Linked DNA regions of Rhinolophus ferrumequinum. The protein of the gene in region 2 binds, or shares a complex with, the protein of the main gene of each other region. Links are inferred from orthologs where the notes say so. Each region holds a gene or a part of one and is shown on either strand. Other genes may lie near its edges. The genes, in order: EME2 and MUS81.

Region 1 (7,972 bases), on a different chromosome or scaffold from region 2:
TCTCACACCTCCTGGTGTCATGTTTCACACCAGGCCACAGCGGTAGAATTAAAGGAGTCCAGATCCAGCTCGGGGGTTCATGGGTGTCCATGGCTTTTCTCCTGTAACTCTGACCATGTTGCAACAGCCTTGGGAAGAAGTGGCCTGATTCTCTTTTCTCCCTTGAGACTTCATCTCACTGCTTCTCCTCTCTGAAGGTGTCACCGCCAAGCCTCCAAGTAATGGGTATTTGTCCCCTGGCCGGGACTTGGGTGCTCCCAGCCCTTCCTGACTGTCCCAGCTGGCCACCAGGCCTGTGGCCAGTGTGTCCAGGGTTCGGGGGCATGTGAAACCCGCCCCCATTCTCTCGCCCCTCCAGCCAGCCGGCATCTCGTGGAAAGAAGTTCTTCTGCTCACCCCAGTTACCCAAGAACCTTTCCTGCTACCTGTGCCTGCCCCTTGGGATGAGGTCTGACCGAGAGCCCCTTCCAGGCAGAGTGGCAGGTAGTGCTGGGTGACTGCTCTCCTCCTCCTACCCCTCGTGGTTTCCGGTCACTCCCTTGCTGGACGGCCTGCTGTCCTGCTGGGTGGCGGGAGAAGGCCCAGTAGGTCTGGCAGGCCTGGTCAGGAGCTAAGGTCCAGCAGGAGGTCAGGGTCGGTGGCGGTCAGGAAGAGGCAGATGCGGCGGGAAAGGTCAGGGCCCAGCCTTCGGGGCCTCTTGCCCTTGTCCGCCTTCACAGGGAGGTCAGCCAGCAGAGCCAGGCGCTCCTGCTCTGTGCCGCAGGCCACGTACGCCTAGGGCAGGCACAGGGATGAGCAGAGCAGGCCTCGGGGACCTGACCATCGTACCTGAGGGGGTGGAGGTGGCGGGAGGGGGCCCACCTGCTGCAGAAGGCGTGGAGAGGGGAAGGCGGTGACAACAGCATCGGCCATGGCCGGGCTGACCCGGTTGAACTGCCTGATCTGCCGCCACCAGGCGCCCCGCAGCCCTGTGCCATCTCTTGTCACTCGTGCGCCTGCCACCCAGCACGCAGCTGTGCGGAAGGAAACGGCCTGGTGCTCCTGGAACTGCCTAAGGACAGCAAGGTGCAGAGAGGTTTCTGGAGGCTCCCTCTCTCCTGACCACCCAGTCCCCCAGCTCAACAAAGCCCCTCAGCCCTCTGCGTCACAGAGGCTGGGAGGTACCACCCCTCCAAGCGTTCCTGTCACCCTCCTAGCTGGGGTGGGGGCCACGCACTTGAAGGGGTGCTGGGCGAGGGCCTTGGTGAAGGCACACACATGCTGACTCAGCTCCTGCCAGGAGGCCACCAGCAGCACGTCCAGGTTTGCCCAGAGCTGCAGGAGCACCAGGGCCTGAGGAGGCAAGCCCGTGGGAGTGGGTAAGAGGAGGGCTCCCCTGGGGGACACCCAGCTAAGAACAACCCCACCTGCCACCCTGGGACCACACCCAGTGGCTGGGCCTCGGCAGCCTGAGAGCCAGGGCCAAGGCCAACCACCTCCCCCAACCTGACATGTCCTTACCTCCTCCACCTCGGGCCAGCCGACTGCCATCATGGCACGGGCCATCCCTGGATTCTCCGGCGGCTGCATCTCCCGGGTGTTGGGCTGGCGAGACCTAAGCAGAGGTGACTATCCCTTCAGCTCCCCACACCCCATAGGTCCCACCCTCCTTGAGTTCTGCTTCCCCTAGAGCCCGCCCAAAGGAGGAGCTTAGCCCCCCAAAGGAGGAGCACAGGAGCCCCCGAGCTACCCCAACCTTTTCCCTGAACTGCCTCATCCCAGCCAGGCCTGCTAAGGGTATGAGGGTGGCCAGTACCATAGGTAGGCATCCAGCCCGATGACAGCCAGGTGGGGGCAGGCGGGGCTCTCAGGAAAGATCCAGGGCACCGAGCTGGTTGGGCCACAGACCTGCAAGCCAAGGTTTACCACACCTGTTTCTCTGGGATGCGGCAGGTAGGGCCCATGAGCCACCAGGCCACTGCCAGTTTGCAGAATGAAGGGGAGCCAGGAAGGCCCAGTGGTGCTGAAATGAGACCGAAGTGGGCTTCCTCTGCTCAGCCAGTTCTCTAGAAAACCAGCTGTGTGCTTCCCCTGAGGTCAAGGGGACCCCAGGCCTGTCCCAGTCTCCTAGAAGAGTCTCCCTCCCCATTCTTGGTCCACCTCTGCACCCCAGCTGGGCACTTGCCTGGTAGCAGATAAATGCGGAACCTCAGACCCTGGGGCAGACAGAGGGTCTAACCTGACGACAGGCTGGCACAAACATCCGCTGAGCAGTCTCTATTGTTCCTCCAGCCAGGCGGGGGCTGGGCTCTTGGCTGGCATAGGTGGCCTGCACAGCCAACCCACAGCCCCAGTCCCAGGCCCCCTCTCACCAATTTCCCACCTCTGGCTTCTGACTGAGCTCTGCAGAGGGCCCGCTTTATCCTGGCTTCTGCCCCCTATAAGCAGCTGCAGCTCCCGTCTGCTCCCAGGCCGAGCCCAGGTGGCTTCCCCCATCTCACCCACACATCTGAGCTGCTGACCAGAGAAGAGCCCCTGCCCACTGCATGCCCTCTCCAGCCCCTCTGCCTTTGAGCAGCACTGGCAGAGCAGCGCATCCAGGCTAGGAACCCAACCCCCCACCGAGCACCTGTGTGAGCTGGAGGACGCCCTGCAGAAACTCATCAGGCTCCAGCAGCAGCAGGAGGTCCTGCTCCCCAGCAGCCCACACCTCAGGAGGCACCTGTGGGGACACCAGGAGCACTGCTGCCCACCCTCGGCCTTGAATGACCCAGGGCCTTGGTCTGGGCACCACACAGCTCTGAGGCTCATGGCCACAGCCAAATCCATGCCAGCCAGGGCTGCTCTACAGAATCCAATGTGGTCTCCTGCTGAGGCCAAGACCAGCCCTGGTCTCCGGGGCCGGCAGGAGCCCTGAGCACAGCCTCAGTGGGGGTGGAACATTCCTCGCACCAGCTGAGTGCAGACCCTGGACCCAGCCCTGCACCGGCACCATAGTTTGGGCATCACCCCATTCAGCATCCCCCATTCTTAGTTTATGTGCCCGATTACAGCAGCTACCTCATGAAATCATGGAGGTGAAATACCGAACTCAGGGCCGCACTACAGAAACCCAGGAAATGAAGCTGCTGGTGGCAAGGAAGCCGGGGCACTCACACTGCTGGGGCAGGGTTCCGGCTTCACTCTGCTCCACCTGAGGCTCCGAGCGGGGCGCTGGGGCTCGATGCGGTACTCACAGCCCAGGGAGCTCAAGGCTTCCAACAGGATGTCAGCGCCAGCATCTTCTAGGATGGCTGGGGTGGGCCAGAGAGACAGCTGTCACTCCTTTCCCCCCACGGGAGGACGCTCCTCACCCATAGCCTGGGCGGCGTGTTACAAACACATCGATTCACCATCCGCTCCAAGAGCGCAGATCGGGCCCAGATCCCAGAGTCTGTTTTTCAAACAATCTCCCCAGTTGGGAAGCCTGCGCCAATTCCTGGCCAAGAGGCGGCCTTGACAGATGCCCCTCTCACCCCGCAGTGGGCCGAGAACCACCTCCCAGTAATTAAGGGGAGCTTCCAAAGCCCGAGCTCCAGCAGAAGTGCAGCTTCTTCTAGGCCCCTTGCCCTGGCCCTGGCCCAGGGCGCACCTGGGTCCACCTGCACCACTAGGCGCCGCACCGCCTGCTCCGGCCGCAGCAGCCGCAGAGCCTGGGCGGCCGCCCTGCGCTCCTCTGCCGGGTCCCGCGCCCTGGCGACAGCCTCCGAATTGGCTTCCGCGCCGGCGGGGCCTTCGGTGTCCGAGTCTGAGATCTCCCAGGTCGGGGCCCGCCGCTGGCCGCGGCCGCGGCGCGAGCCTCCAGCCCCGCCGGGCCCAGCCCTCGCCATGGCCCGCCCGGCCTCCTCTCCGCTTCCGGCCGCGCCCGGCCGCCTTTCCAGGGAACACCGGCCTCTTCCGGCGGCGGCGGCGGCGGGAGCCAACCATGGCGCGGAAGAAGGTGCGGCCCCGGCTGATCGCCGAGCTGGCCCGCCGCGTGCGGGCCCTGCGGGAGCAGCGGGAGCGGCCGCGCGACTCGCAGCGCTACTCCCTGGACTATGAGACGCTGACTCGGCCGTACTCGGAACGTCGGCTGCCTGCGCGGGCCTGGGCCGACGTGCGCAGCGAGAGCCGCCTCCTGCAGCTGCTCGGCCGCCTCCCGTTCTTCGGTCTGGGCCGCCTGGTCACGCGCAAGTCCTGGCTGTGGCAGCACGACGAACCGTGCTACTGGCGCCTCACACGTGTCCGACCGGACTACACGGCTCAGGTGAGTGCGCCGGTCCCCACCTCCCCACTTCCGAGCTCGGCGAAGCAGCACTGCCGCCCCTGTGCGCGACGTTGTGGGACAGGGGGTCTCCTGCGTCCTGATCTCTGGGGACAAGAAAGCTTTCTGAGCTGATTCCCTCCCCATTTGTTTTTGCAGAACTTGGACCACGGCAAGGCCTGGGGCATCCTGACCTTCAAAGGTAAGGCGTCGGAGACCGGGTTGGGTGGCTGCTGGCAACAGACCGTTGCGCGAGTGCGCAATAAACCACGTCCTTCTTTCCCCAGGAAAGACGGAGAGCGAAGCCCGGGAGATCGAACAGGTCATGTACCATGACTGGCGGCTGGTGCCCAAGCACGAGGAGGAGGCCTTCACCGCGTTCAGGCCGGTGTCCGAGGACACTGTGCGCTCTGTGCCCTACCCGCCGCTACTCCGGGCTATGATCCTAGCAGAGCGACAGAAAAATGGGGACACTAGCACCGAGGAGCCCATGCTGAATCTGGAGAGAACACGCATTGATCCCTGGGACTACCCTCGGAAACAAGAGGCAAAGAGAAAGGCCAAAGGCACTCCAGTCTAAAATGTCAGAGCCCGCAGGCCGACCGAAGGGTGCAAGGCGTTGGGCACCATTTAGATGAAACAAAATGTCTTTGGGTTACACCTGAGAGCTCGGATCTGACGTCCACTTGTTCTGAGGCTCTGTACTGAACAGAGAGTAGAAAGGGGTGGCGTTAGACCCTGCACCTGTGTCTTCCCTCTGTTCCTGTCGCCCCAACACCCAGATCTGACGGAGGGGGCCACACTGGAGGCGGCTGCTGCTGGGGGAAAGCTGAAAGAGCAGGGCTAGTGGGTGTGGAGCCCCCGCGCTGGCACCTGTCATTTCCAGGCTGGCTCCCCTTCCTCATAACGGGTTGCCTCAGCTGGGACCCAGATAGAAGCTGTGAACGCGAATAAAGTCAACTGAAGTAACGCTGGTTTGTAGTACCTTCGAGTTTGGGGGACCATGGCTGGTTGTCTCCTGGAGAGTGGGGTGAAAAAAGCTGACATCGCGGTGAATCTGGCTCGGTGGATGGGAACACCTGAGCGGATTGGGGGGAAGGGGTACAGATGCAGCCGTCGCAGAAAGGTCTGGGGGCCCCGTGGCCGCAGAGATTCTGGGGTGAGCGTGGACAAGGCACGGCCTCACCGCATAGTCCGCGTTCCGTCAGCCCCCACCCTCGCCGCACCCACGGAGGCAGCCGCGCCAGGGGGCCGGGAACGAGGGGATTCGGGCTGCGGCCCCTTTAAACACAAGCCCCGCCCCCTCCAGTCTGCGCTCCGCTTCAGTCGCCGTCGCCATCATGATCTGTTTGGTGCTGACCATCTTCGCCAACCTCTTCCCCGCGGGTGAGCGGCGCGGCCGGGGCCGGGGGTTGAGCCGGGCCGGGCCAGGTGGGGTGGGGCTGCGGGCGGGCCTGACGCGCGCGGTCCCGCGGGTCCCGCAGCCTGCTCCGGCGTGCACGAGCGCACCTTTCTGGCGGTGAAGCCCGACGGCGTGCAGCGGCGGCTCGTGGGAGAGATCGTGCGGCGCTTAGAGAGGAAGGGCTTCAAGCTGGTGGCGCTGAAGCTGGTGCTGGTAGGGGCGGCGGCGGGGGGGCGCGGGGGTGGCGTGGGCGCGGGGGGGGACCCGGCGGGACGGGAGGGGGCGGGGCCCTGGAGCTCGCGAGCCGGCCCCCTCCCTCCGCAGGCCTCCGAGGAGCTGTTGCGCGAACACTACGCCGAGCTGCGCGAGCGCCCTTTCTACGGCCGCCTGGTCAAGTACATGGGCTCCGGGCCGGTGGTGGCCATGGTGAGTGCCGGAGGGCGGGCGGCGCGCTGACCCCGCCCCGACCGCGCGCTGACCCCGCGTCGCCGTCCCCGTCCGCAGGTGTGGCAGGGTTTGAACGTCGTGCGCATCTCGCGGGCTCTCATCGGAGCCACGGATCCTGCGGACGCGCCTCCCGGCACCATCCGCGGGGATTTCTGTATCGAGGTCGGCAAGTAAGGCCGGCCCCCGGCCCTCGGGACGTTCTTAGCGCGCGTCGCAGCTCCCCTCACTGGGCTGCGTGGGACTCCTGCCCGCGCTGACACACGCCTCTCCCACGCAGGAACGTGATTCATGGCAGCGATTCTGTGGAGAACGCCCGCCGTGAGATAGCGCTCTGGTTCCGCCCCGAGGAGCTCATGTGCTGGGAGGACAGCACGGAGCATTGGCTGTATGAGTAGTGGAGCCGCGGGGACCCGGCCTCCTGCAGCGGCAGAGGACCCAAGGCCAGAGGACCCAAGGCCGGGTGCCCGGGGCCTCTAGGGCAGACGTGCTGCAATAGGTTGTGGCTCACTTGGCACCCTCCAGGCCCCGGAGGTGGTGCTCAGAACACCCCTTCTGTGACAGGTATCACAGGATCCCTTCAGGACCTCCCACAGGGCAGGTGGGTCTGCCCAGCCCGGCATGCGACTGTTTGGAAAATGCCTGGAAATGTACCAGGGCACCAACCCTGGCACTGAGCTTGCTCCAGCATTTCTTTTTCTAATAAACTGAAGAAAACCCTTGTACTCACTCATGTTGGTTTGGGGTACCATGTTAAGACATTTATTACATACAGAGCAGATACACGGGTTTGCTTGCAGGGCCAAAGCCTGAGGAGAATTGTCACCCAGCCCCTTCTCCCAGCTGCACCCACCCCAGATAACCCCCGAGTCATTCATGGCCCCGTGGGAACAGACAAAGGACTTGACGGACATCACAGTGGACAGTGGCAGGGCGGTGGGGAGAAGCCTGCAGCGGCATGTGACTGCAGTGGTGTCTGGCTGGGCTGTGGGGTGGCTGCCCGAGATCTGTGCTTCTCTGGTGGGAGGTGGGTGGACGGCAGGGCACGAGGCTGCCCTGATCAGTGCCTTTTGGAGCAGGACTAAAGCCTGGGCAGGTGGGGAGGCAGCAGTCCAGGGCGATGCCCTTCAAAGTTGGCGGGCGCACACTCCTAAGAGCTGGGGGAGGTGGCCCTTATCCTTAGCCCTTCGGGCCTCTGTTGTTAGCCTGTCGGTTGCCCTCAAGGGAGCAGGCCACACCACCAGCCCAAGGCACTTAGTAGTGTGTCTTGGGAGCTGGGCTCCTTGGAGACTGCTTGGCAGGCAGGCCCAGGAGCTCACCTTCCCCATCACCCTGAGGCTATGCCTGCATCCTAGGACTGACCCCAGGAGAGGCCAGGGCCCCCCTTTCTTCCTGAGGCTTGGGCCTGCCCTGGCAGCCTGAGAAATTCACCCTAGGGGCTTCCAGGAGGGGCAGGACTCCAGGGTATGCTCCTACAAGGTGGGTCTTCTGCCCAGGAAGGGGGGAGGGGACATGGGTCAGTGAGAGCCGGTGAGAGCCTGCCAAACAGGAGGATCAGGGTTTGAACGGGATGAGGGCATCTGTTTGTCTTCTCAAACAGCTGCCCCATGGAGTCTGGTTACGTGCTTTCATGCCAGTGCCCGGGGTGGCAGGGATGGGGGCAAGGTCTAGTGGCCGGGCCAGCTCCCTAAGGACCCCCTACCCCTGCGTACAGCAGGCAAAGGCAAGTGGACTCAGGTGGGGAGACCTGGAGGTGAAGTCCCTGTTTCCTGCCCTGGGGATCCAGGGAGTGAGTGATGGGAGCGGGGAGCCCAGGGTGCAGCTGGGAGCCACCTTGGGTCTGTCCCGGCCCAGCCCACCCCAGG
Region 2 (8,547 bases):
CAGTGCCACGCCAGCATCCTCTCCTTCACTTCCCCCTACCTCACTCACCCCTTGGTCTCGCCAACATCCACACACAACAGCACCCTGTACTCTCCAGGCCTCAGCTCCAGCTGTGGCTGCTGGACACTGCCTTCACTGGCACCACTACAAGGGGGGGGGGCGTTGGTGTGTGTGAGGCCAGAACCCCACTGCCAGGGCAGTTTCCCTCCAAACCCAGTGGAAGTGAGACAGCCACAGCTCAGCTGTAGGTGATGGAGACGGAGGTGGGGTATTGGCCTCGTTTCTGGGACCCCGTGCTCCCCTTTTCTCTCCATCCCCCCTTTCCCTCTCTCCCCTCCTCACAGCTCAGCGGAGAATGATCTTGGCACTTCTGGCTCGTCCCCAGGGGGCTCCTCTGGTTCGATACCCATATTCAGCAAGCTCAGGCCCTCTGACTCGGCCAGCTTCTGGGCCAGCTCCAGACCCTGCAGGGTCAGTGAGTACCTAGTAGGTAGAAGACACGAACACAGATCTCCCTTCTTTGCTCATATCTGGCAGGCTCTCCTGCCTGCCCCCAGCTAGGCAGGCCTCACACCCTCTTGGTGACCCTGCACAATTAAGTCCAGTGGCTTCCACCATCACCCCCCAGGCTGTGTTCTTGCTCCTTTAATCACTGCCCTCTGGATGGCCAGGGCCATCCCTCAGGTCTGCAATACGTCTCAGACACTTTCCTTCCTCCCAACTTTGCTCATACTGTTCCCTCCTCCCTGCAGTGCTTTTCCTGCATCTCTACCCTCTGAATTCTAAAATGTGTCAAATGCCATGTCCCCAGCAAAGCTCTTCCGCTCCGCTGATAATCTGTCGCACCTCTTCCTCTTCGCCCTCACTGCTCAGTCTCTCACACCCTCCCAGTATTCCAACATTGTGGGGTCCTGGGGATAAGGCCTCCCCTTTCCCCCAACCTCAACAGCATGAGGCCTGGGAATTGCTGGGTGACTGCAGACCCCACTCAGACCATCATGCATGTTCCCCCTCCCTGCCTCCTGCATCCCCTGTAGTTGGCCCCACCTGGCCGGTTGTTGTGTCCTGAAGACCAGGTTCCTGTGGATCAGGGAGCGGAGGGCTGGCCAGGATCGAGCACTCCCAGGGGCTACCTGTCCATAGGTGAGGTGATTGTTAGAGAGCACCTGGTGCCACCATGTGTCCAGCTCCCTGGGTCCCATGCCACTGCTAGCTCCTGAGAAGGGCAGCCTCTGGTGGGCTCAAGGTCAGATCCAGAGCCACTTGGTCCCAACCATCCCCACCTCAGTGCTCACCCCGGGAGCCTCCTGGGTACACCTCTGCAGCAGCTCCTCCTTGGTTAGGAAGCTGTGGCCACTAGGATTCTGTAACCAAGGCAGAAATATAACCAAGGCAGATTCCGTGCCTGGGCCAATCCCTTCCCAGAGCCTCACGCCCCACTGCCTTGGTTCCCTGACTCAGTATAGCTAGGTACTCACCAGATGTTCCCTATAGAGCAGCAGCAGTACTGCTCGTGCTCCTGAGTGCCGAGCTGGCCAGTAGCTGCCAGAGCCTCCCGCTTTGGGTTGGGCCAGAACCTTAAAGATACAAAGGACTTTGAATATGAAAATCAGCCAGCCAGCCGTTGTAGACTGAATCCCTGACAGGGCTGAGGTTCAGGTTCTATCTCTGTAGGCCGCATGGCCTTGGGCAAGTCACTCAGCTGCCTCTCAGTTCCCAGATTTGTTAAACAGGACAGATGATGGGATGATCGCCTGCAAGTTTGGGATGAGACAGTGGAGACTTGTGGGATGGTGTAATCGGCCCGCTCCAGTCTCAGTTCTACCATCCACTGCAGGACAGAGGTGGTAAGACAAGAAAACTCAGTAATATCAACCCCCACAACTTACTGGGCTTGGCCCCCTAAATAACTTGATCACAGAACTGACTCTCTCACCAATCAACACAGGCATACCCATCTACAAATGAGAAAACTAGCTATGAGGGAGAATGAGTCATTTGCCCAAGGCCAGGTATCACTGGTGGGGAGATGTGGACCCAGGCCTGCTAGTCCCCCAAGCCAGAAAATCTTACTCCTGGTGCCCCCACAATCCCTTCCACTCCTCTTGCCCCATCCTCACTGGCATGGAAGAGTCCTGGACTTCAGCAGGTGGTCCTTCCTGGGCTGGACTCTTTGCTCCAGATGAAGCTGGGGCATGGTCACCTGCGGGAGAAGAGAGTCAACCCTGGACCCCATGGAATCCAGCAGGCGGGAGGATCTGGGACGCTGCCAGCTCGTGTGGTAGGTGAGAGCGGTGAGGCTCTACGAGAGCCAGCACCGAGCCCTGGGTCAAACAGCAACTTGGACAGGAGAGTGGAGCTTGAAGCTAAGGTATCCCACGTGGTTACGGAGGCTGCACCTCAGGGAGACTCAGGGAACCCCGACCCCTGCCCCCAGAGCTCACCACCAGATGACTGGTGCTGCTGCAGCCGCTGGTCCAGCATCCGGCAGAGCCCGTCTCCGAAATGCAGCAGGATCTTAGCTTCTTTACCGCTGCGCAGGGGCAGTGGATAACGCCGGAGAGAGCGCAGCGCCTGGCGGGGTAGGGGGTACCGTACCGGGTCAGGGCTGGCCTGGTCGTTTGGCTCCGCCAGCACCTGTCCTCATAAGGTCGGGCTGGCACCCACCTTCTGAAACACGAATTGTGTGCGGCGCCCCCTGCTGGCTGCCTCGTCCCGCCACTCGGTCAGCCAGCGTACAAAGAGCGGGTTGGGGCAAACCGGCAGCGGACGTTTCCGGCCCAGACGCACCGGCGCCGCCATGAGCCCCAGGACTAGGCCTTTGGCGCCTCACGCCGGCGGTACTGAGACGCCCAGTTCTGGAAACAGGATTCGAACACCTGGCTCAGGAGGGTGAAGGCGGGACTTCTTCAATCACGTGGTCCGACGAGGGGCACTAACTAGAGGATAACCTCCTGCTGCCCTCCCCGCCCCTCCACTACTCTGAGTGGTTGGTGCCGAGTACCGTTTCTATGGTCTTTCGCCCCCTCGCTCCTCCCGGCCAGGACCAGCCTTTGGGACACACCCCACCCAGGCCCCCGAGCCTTGACCCGCCCCTTCCTCCCACCCCAGAATCTAGAGCGGTCTTCTTTGTGAAGGCAAGAGAAAGGCGGACTGCACCCCCTTGTGGCTGGGAGGGCTGGCTGGGGCGGTGCTTAACTAAGTAATCTGAGGCTGTCATTTTCAGCTAACCTTGACGGAGGAGTCTGGAGAGACTGGGCTTGTGAAAAGGCTGAGAGGTGGGGGATGGGAGACAAATGGGTGCAGGTGTATTTGCAGGAGAGGTATCTAGAAAGTACAGGATATGAGCACACAAAGGTAACGCGGAAGGAGCTGAAGGCCCCTCCGAGGAAAAGATGATCCCGAGCTGGGAGGGACGACACAGGGCAGTGGGGAGCGAAGTCAGGAATTTTCAGGGAAGGCCAAAGTTAGTAGGACGGAGGGAGGGGAACAGAGGAGAAGAAGAGGGAAAAGCAGGAAGTGTTGGGTATCCTGGCAGGTAAAAGGGGTGGCTGAGATGGATACGTGGTTGGATTTGGGGGAGCAAGCTGGAGGTAAGAAGCCCCGACGAGGGTGAAAGGGGTGAACATTTCGCCGGTTTAGTGATTTATTGGAGATGGGGGACCCTCAGAGAGGATTGAGATGGTATATATATGCAAAAAAGGTCCCAGGTTGAGGGACACGTATGGAGGAATTGGGCACAAAGATCTCGCTTGGGAGTTGAAGCAACCCCTAGCCGTCATACCAGAAGACGCGAGGTGCTAGGCTGGAGCCTACGAGCGTACTGGCGGCCGTGGGAGCAACAGGCCCGCCCCTCCAGACTCCGCCCAGCCTACTCCGAACTCCCGCCTCCTGTCCGACGCTGCCTTATAAGGAGCCTCCAGCCATCGTTAGGGTTGGTCCCGCCCCCTCTAGTCTCTTGTCCTAATAAGGACATCTAGGGCATCCCGCGGCTAGGGGCGGGAGGGAGCACGTCTCCTGGGTAACTGCGATGTCCCCCTCCCCCTTCTCGTTGCTCTTGGCAACTCTGAGGCTCGATAAAGATGGAGCCAGTTTTCTCTTCTGACAGGGTCTCTAGGGGTAGGCAGCGGTCGAGCTGTGGCCTTCACCTGGGGCTCCCCGTAGCTCGGTTGGTAGGCAGAGCGCGGCGGGACGTCCCCGACTACAACCCCCGGCATGCTCTGCGAGGTACCCCACTCCAGGGAGTCGCTCCCCGACCAGTGAAGAACGGGCTTTCAGCTCGTTTACACCCTTTATTACGCTTGTAGGATCAATGGCCCTAATTCCCTTGTTTGAGACCCTTTCTTCTCTGCCTGCGCAGTGAGGCCATGTCATTGTTTGAAGCCAACGAAATCTTCCCGAGCCCCCCAACCCCAGTTTGTTTTTGTAAAACTATGTCTCAGTTTTTGGGGGTATTAAATTAACCCCCAAATTAACTATATGCCTGGTTCTCAACTCGAGAACAAGATTCAAGTTTGATTTAGTATCTATTTCTTTTCGCTCTGTAGTAAAAGGCACATAATCCTTGAGTTGAATGCACAAACCCCTGCCCTTCTCCTTTTAGTGCGTTGTGAATTTGCCAAACGTTTAAAACGACACATCTATTTTCAAAGAGTTCCTTGTAACCTTTCCCGTATTTTTTTCTCTTATTTTATTGAAGTTTCATATGGCCTTTTCTCAGGAGACAAGCGTGGCTTTGCCATGGAGTTGCTCAATGTTTACTGGATTGAAGGCACCTTATACTTGCGATTCTCCTTGCTCAAGGACTGGATTCCGGGCCAGTAAATAGTTGCTTCGCTTCAGAAAAGCAAAATACTGATTCACTCAAAGTTTTCAGACCACGGGATCCAGAAAGTGCTAAGATGGATCTTAAGGAAACCGTTTCACAACGGGGTGAAGAGCCGCGAAGTCGGGGCTCATTTTCGGGTCATGTTACCTAGCGCCTTTCACAGCGCTTAGCGTTTCCTGGGAAATTCGACCAATGGGTGCGCTCTCTGTGCCATAGCCCCGCCCCTCTCAGCTGTCTCGGACTACATTTCCCGGTATGCAATGTAGCGCTGGGAAGACGGGCTCGCCTCCAGCGAGCTCGAGGACGGCGCAGGACCTTTGGACTTCATTTCCCGTCGGCCCGCAGTGGGAGCGCCGGAAGCCCGCCCCGCCCCTCATTGTGCGGCTCATACTAAACGGAAGGGGCCGGGAGAGGCCGCGTTCAGTCGGATCCCGGCAGCAGCTGCAGAGGCTCTCATCTTTTCTGGCTCTGCTTGCTGTCGCCTTTTTGCTTCCGGAAACATGGTGAGCACCAGGCCCCGGTGCTTGAGGGAGGCGGCTGCGAGTTGGTCGTCTCGCGTGTGGGAGGGAACGGGGAAACGACGTCGGCACCCCTCCCCCAGCACCCAGGGCGGGATGAGGGTCTCGTGCTGAGGGGCGGGCGGCCCCGGGACGCGCGTGCGCGCCCGCGGGCGCCAGGGATGGCTAGCTGGGACGTCGCACGCGCGCCCCCTGGTCTCCCTTCCCCTCCCCCACCTCTGGTACGCCCGCGCCGACACTAGCCGTGGGGGAGGGGTCCGAGGCGCGCGCCCGCCCCTCGCAGATCGGGTGGTGTCGCGCGCCGCAGCGGCGGTGAAGTGAGTCGGTTCACGGGAACGCGCGCTCGACGGGAGCACGCGGTATCCAAACCTGGCCCGGGGGCGGCGAAGGAAAAGCGCGCGAGCAGTCTTGGCGCGCGCGCCCCACCCAAGTGCTGTTCCTGTCTCCGCGTCATCCTCCCTCGGCAGGCTGGTCTGTCTCGAGAGCAGGTGGCAAGGATGCCTGCGCCTGGGAGGGGCGGGGGCGGCGGGGATGCGCGGGCGTCAGGGTCCGGGAGTGGGCGCCTGGGATTAGGGGCTTGCACCGCGCGGCACGGATCGGACACAGCAGAGGCCACGGCCCTGCTCCGGAGCGAGCTCGCCCACAAAGCGAGCTGGGTTCTCCGCTCTGTACATCGGGCAAAGGCTGGAACGGCGCTTTCGGCAGGCGCGTGCGCACACGCTCGGGCCTGGGCGCTGGGCCCGAAGCCTTGGACAAGCGGGGCCCTCGGCTTTCCCGGATGGGGCTTGAGGGTGGAGTCAAGTTTAGGGAAGTGACCCAGGCGGGCACCGCCCGGAAACCACCCCGCCCGTGTTCGGCCCGAAGGCTCCGAGAACCGAACGTTGTGTAACTTGCCCAGGCTCCGGCTGATACGCCGGCTTGTAAAAGCGATTCTTTCAGGCTGAGGCCCTGGAGTTGCTACTGCCTCTGGGTAGGGGTTTCTCTCTCGGGGAGGGGCCGAGCCTAGCCTAGCTCCTTTCCCCGCCTACTCCGGAAGCGGCTGAGTCACGTGGCCGGCTTCCTCTGCAGTTCCGGGAGGGGGGTGCTCCGCAGATTTCATCGTGGACAGTCGCTGCTTTTCCGGGCTAGGGTGTCCCCCGATACGACCCAAAATAGAAGTTTAAAGGGCCCTCAAGGACTGTGGGCACTTGAGTTTGCGCTGTGGACTTCTGTCAGCTTTTTGGGCCTGCATTTTGCCCAGAAAATAGGGAGTTGTCGGGTAAGGCCTTAATGAGGGGTTGTAATTTTTCGGTTGAGGAAGACCCCAGCAGAAAAATGGATAGTTTGTGTAATAATTGCACTGAGCGACTCTGATGAATTTGCTTCAACTGTTGAGCACCTTTGGTGTTACATCTAGCATTGTATGGGCCTGGTTCTCTCTTTCCAGAAGAGATGGCTATGATTTCGGTGTCTAGGTTTTCTTCACCGAGGTTCTGAGTCAGCAGTTTTATCCAAAAGCTGAGATTGTGTAATGTGAGTAGGAAACGAGTCAGTTGCCTGTGGATTCTTCTAATTCTGGGCTCATGTCTCAATCATGGTTCTGTTTCTCACAGGTCTTCAATTTCTAGCCTGCAAGATGTTGGGGTGGGGAGAAATGATGCTGAATGAGGTGATCAGCGGTCTCGTCTGTGGCTGCTATTTTGGAGTTGTGTCCCATCTGATTTTTTGACAGTGGCTTGAGTAGGAAAAGAGGGACACTTACTTTGGAAAAGGTTTTCATGACCTCTTGGGGCTGAGGACTGTGTAGTATGTTGGTTGGCATCCAGACAGGTCTCCTAAGAAAGCAAAGGAGGGACTTCAGGGGGAGTCCCAGGAAGTCTTTTTTTTATGAGGTGTGTGTGGCTCGTCCCCCAGGCCTCTGGTGTGGCTGTCTCTGATGGAGTCATCAAAGTGTTCAATGACATGAAGGTGCGTAAGTCGTCGACACCAGAGGAGGTGAAGAAGCGCAAGAAGGCCGTGCTCTTCTGCCTGAGTGAGGACAAGAAGAACATCATCCTGGAGGAGGGCAAGGAGATCCTGGTAGGTGATGTGGGCCAGACTGTAGACGACCCCTACGCCACCTTTGTCAAGATGCTGCCGGACAAGGACTGTCGCTACGCCCTCTATGATGCAACCTATGAGACCAAGGAGAGCAAGAAGGAGGACCTGGTGTTTATCTTCTGGTGAGCTCCTCCTGCGGGCACTTATTTTGTCACCTGTACTGGCTCTGTCTCACCGCCCTTTCTCAGGATGGGAACTCTGCCTCCTAATTAACCAGAAGTGTGGGTTTTTTTTTGGGGGGGGGCGGTGTTGTAACAAAACTTGTCAATGAGGAACTTGATAAAAGTTTGAACGCTAGGGGCCAGCTCAAGTGTTTCTCTGGAAGTCATCTGTTGCTTGAGGGCATTTGCTAGACTTGGAGGAGACTTTGCTGCAAGTTTCTATGTCTCTTATTTCCATCCAGGGCTCCTGAGTCTGCACCCCTTAAGAGCAAAATGATCTATGCCAGCTCCAAGGACGCCATCAAGAAGAAGCTGACGGGTAAGGACCAGCATTGGTAGTGCCACATGCTCTTCTTTCTGCCCAGGCCTTGGCTGCAGGGTAGGGTGACTGGGATGGCAGAGGAGGTTCCTCCCCCTCCTTGTCCCTGCCTGTTTGGAATGTAACCATGTCCTTTCCATCTGTTCCGACTGGCTCCTTCCCAGCCATAAACTACCCCCAGCCACCCTACTGCTTCCTGCTCACATACGCTCCCCCCTTTTCCCCACAGGGATCAAGCATGAATTACAAGCAAACTGCTACGAGGAGGTCAAGGACCGCTGCACCCTGGCAGAGAAGCTGGGGGGCAGTGCTGTCATCTCCCTGGAGGGCAAGCCTTTGTGAGCCCCCTCCAGCCCCCTGCCCGGAGCATCTGGCAGCCCCAGACCTGCCCATGGGGGTTGCAGGCTGCCCCCTTCCTGCCAGACCGGAGGGGCTGGGGGGATCCCAGCAGGGGGAGGGCAATCCCTTCACCCAGTTGCCAAACAGCCCCCCACCCCCTGGACCTTCCTCTTCCCTCCACCCCTGACGGTTCTGGCCTTCCCCAACCGCTTTTGATCTTCTGATTATTCTTGGGTTGAAGAAGACCAAGTTCCCCCCAGGCACCCCAGTTTGGGGGTCTGTGTTTTTTTTAACGACATCCCG

Evidence for each region.
Region 1: the proteins of MUS81 (region 2) and EME2 are in contact, whole or in part, in a crystal structure (PDB 7F6L), measured with the Homo sapiens proteins. The link is inferred for Rhinolophus ferrumequinum from reciprocal best matches to the Homo sapiens genes MUS81 and EME2. Residues at the interface, in NP_079404.3 of Homo sapiens: His330, Glu351, Phe354, Lys357, Arg358, Arg363, Val365, Glu381, Leu385, Gln386, Thr389, Asn390, Gln392, Val393, Ile394, Phe398, Lys400, Arg401, Tyr411, Leu414, Leu415, Arg417, Gly418, Leu419, Arg421, Leu422, Pro447, Ile464, Lys467, Ala468; in NP_001244299.1 of Homo sapiens: Glu140, Arg177, His179, Glu220, Glu221, Val224, Leu225, Gln227, Leu228, Trp229, Asn231, Leu232, Asp233, Leu235, Arg245, His246, Ala249, Val250, Lys252, Ala253, Leu254, Gln256, Tyr257, Lys260, Gln261, Glu264, Gln266, Phe268, Phe270, Cys271.

Annotation. Positions count from the first base shown.
Region 1 is NW_022680357.1:3,538,596-3,546,567, reverse strand, and holds EME2 (probable crossover junction endonuclease EME2), read right to left. Parts: upstream 3,866-7,972; 5' UTR 3,849-3,865; coding exon 3,611-3,848; intron 3,273-3,610; coding exon 3,136-3,272; intron 2,702-3,135; coding exon 2,609-2,701; exon of another isoform or gene 2,539-2,608; intron 1,888-2,538; coding exon 1,796-1,887; intron 1,605-1,795; exon of another isoform or gene 1,595-1,604; coding exon 1,501-1,594; intron 1,359-1,500; exon of another isoform or gene 1,333-1,358; coding exon 1,217-1,332; intron 1,052-1,216; coding exon 862-1,051; intron 775-861; coding exon 604-774; 3' UTR 155-603; downstream 1-154. Other genes in the region: MRPS34 (28S ribosomal protein S34, mitochondrial), read left to right, coding at 3,944-4,264, 4,421-4,463, 4,549-4,841. UniProt on the Homo sapiens protein: Non-catalytic subunit of the structure-specific, heterodimeric DNA endonuclease MUS81-EME2 which is involved in the maintenance of genome stability. In the complex, EME2 is required for DNA cleavage, participating in DNA recognition and bending.
Region 2 is NC_046294.1:5,965,360-5,973,906, forward strand, and holds the start of MUS81 (crossover junction endonuclease MUS81), read right to left. Parts: upstream 3,447-8,547; 5' UTR 2,803-3,446; coding exon 2,668-2,802; intron 2,575-2,667; coding exon 2,445-2,574; intron 2,204-2,444; coding exon 2,121-2,203; intron 1,578-2,120; coding exon 1,479-1,577; intron 1,365-1,478; coding exon 1,296-1,364; intron 1,134-1,295; coding exon 1,048-1,133; intron 484-1,047; coding exon 343-483; intron 145-342; coding exon 49-144; intron 1-48. UniProt on the Homo sapiens protein: Catalytic subunit of two functionally distinct, structure-specific, heterodimeric DNA endonucleases MUS81-EME1 and MUS81-EME2 that are involved in the maintenance of genome stability.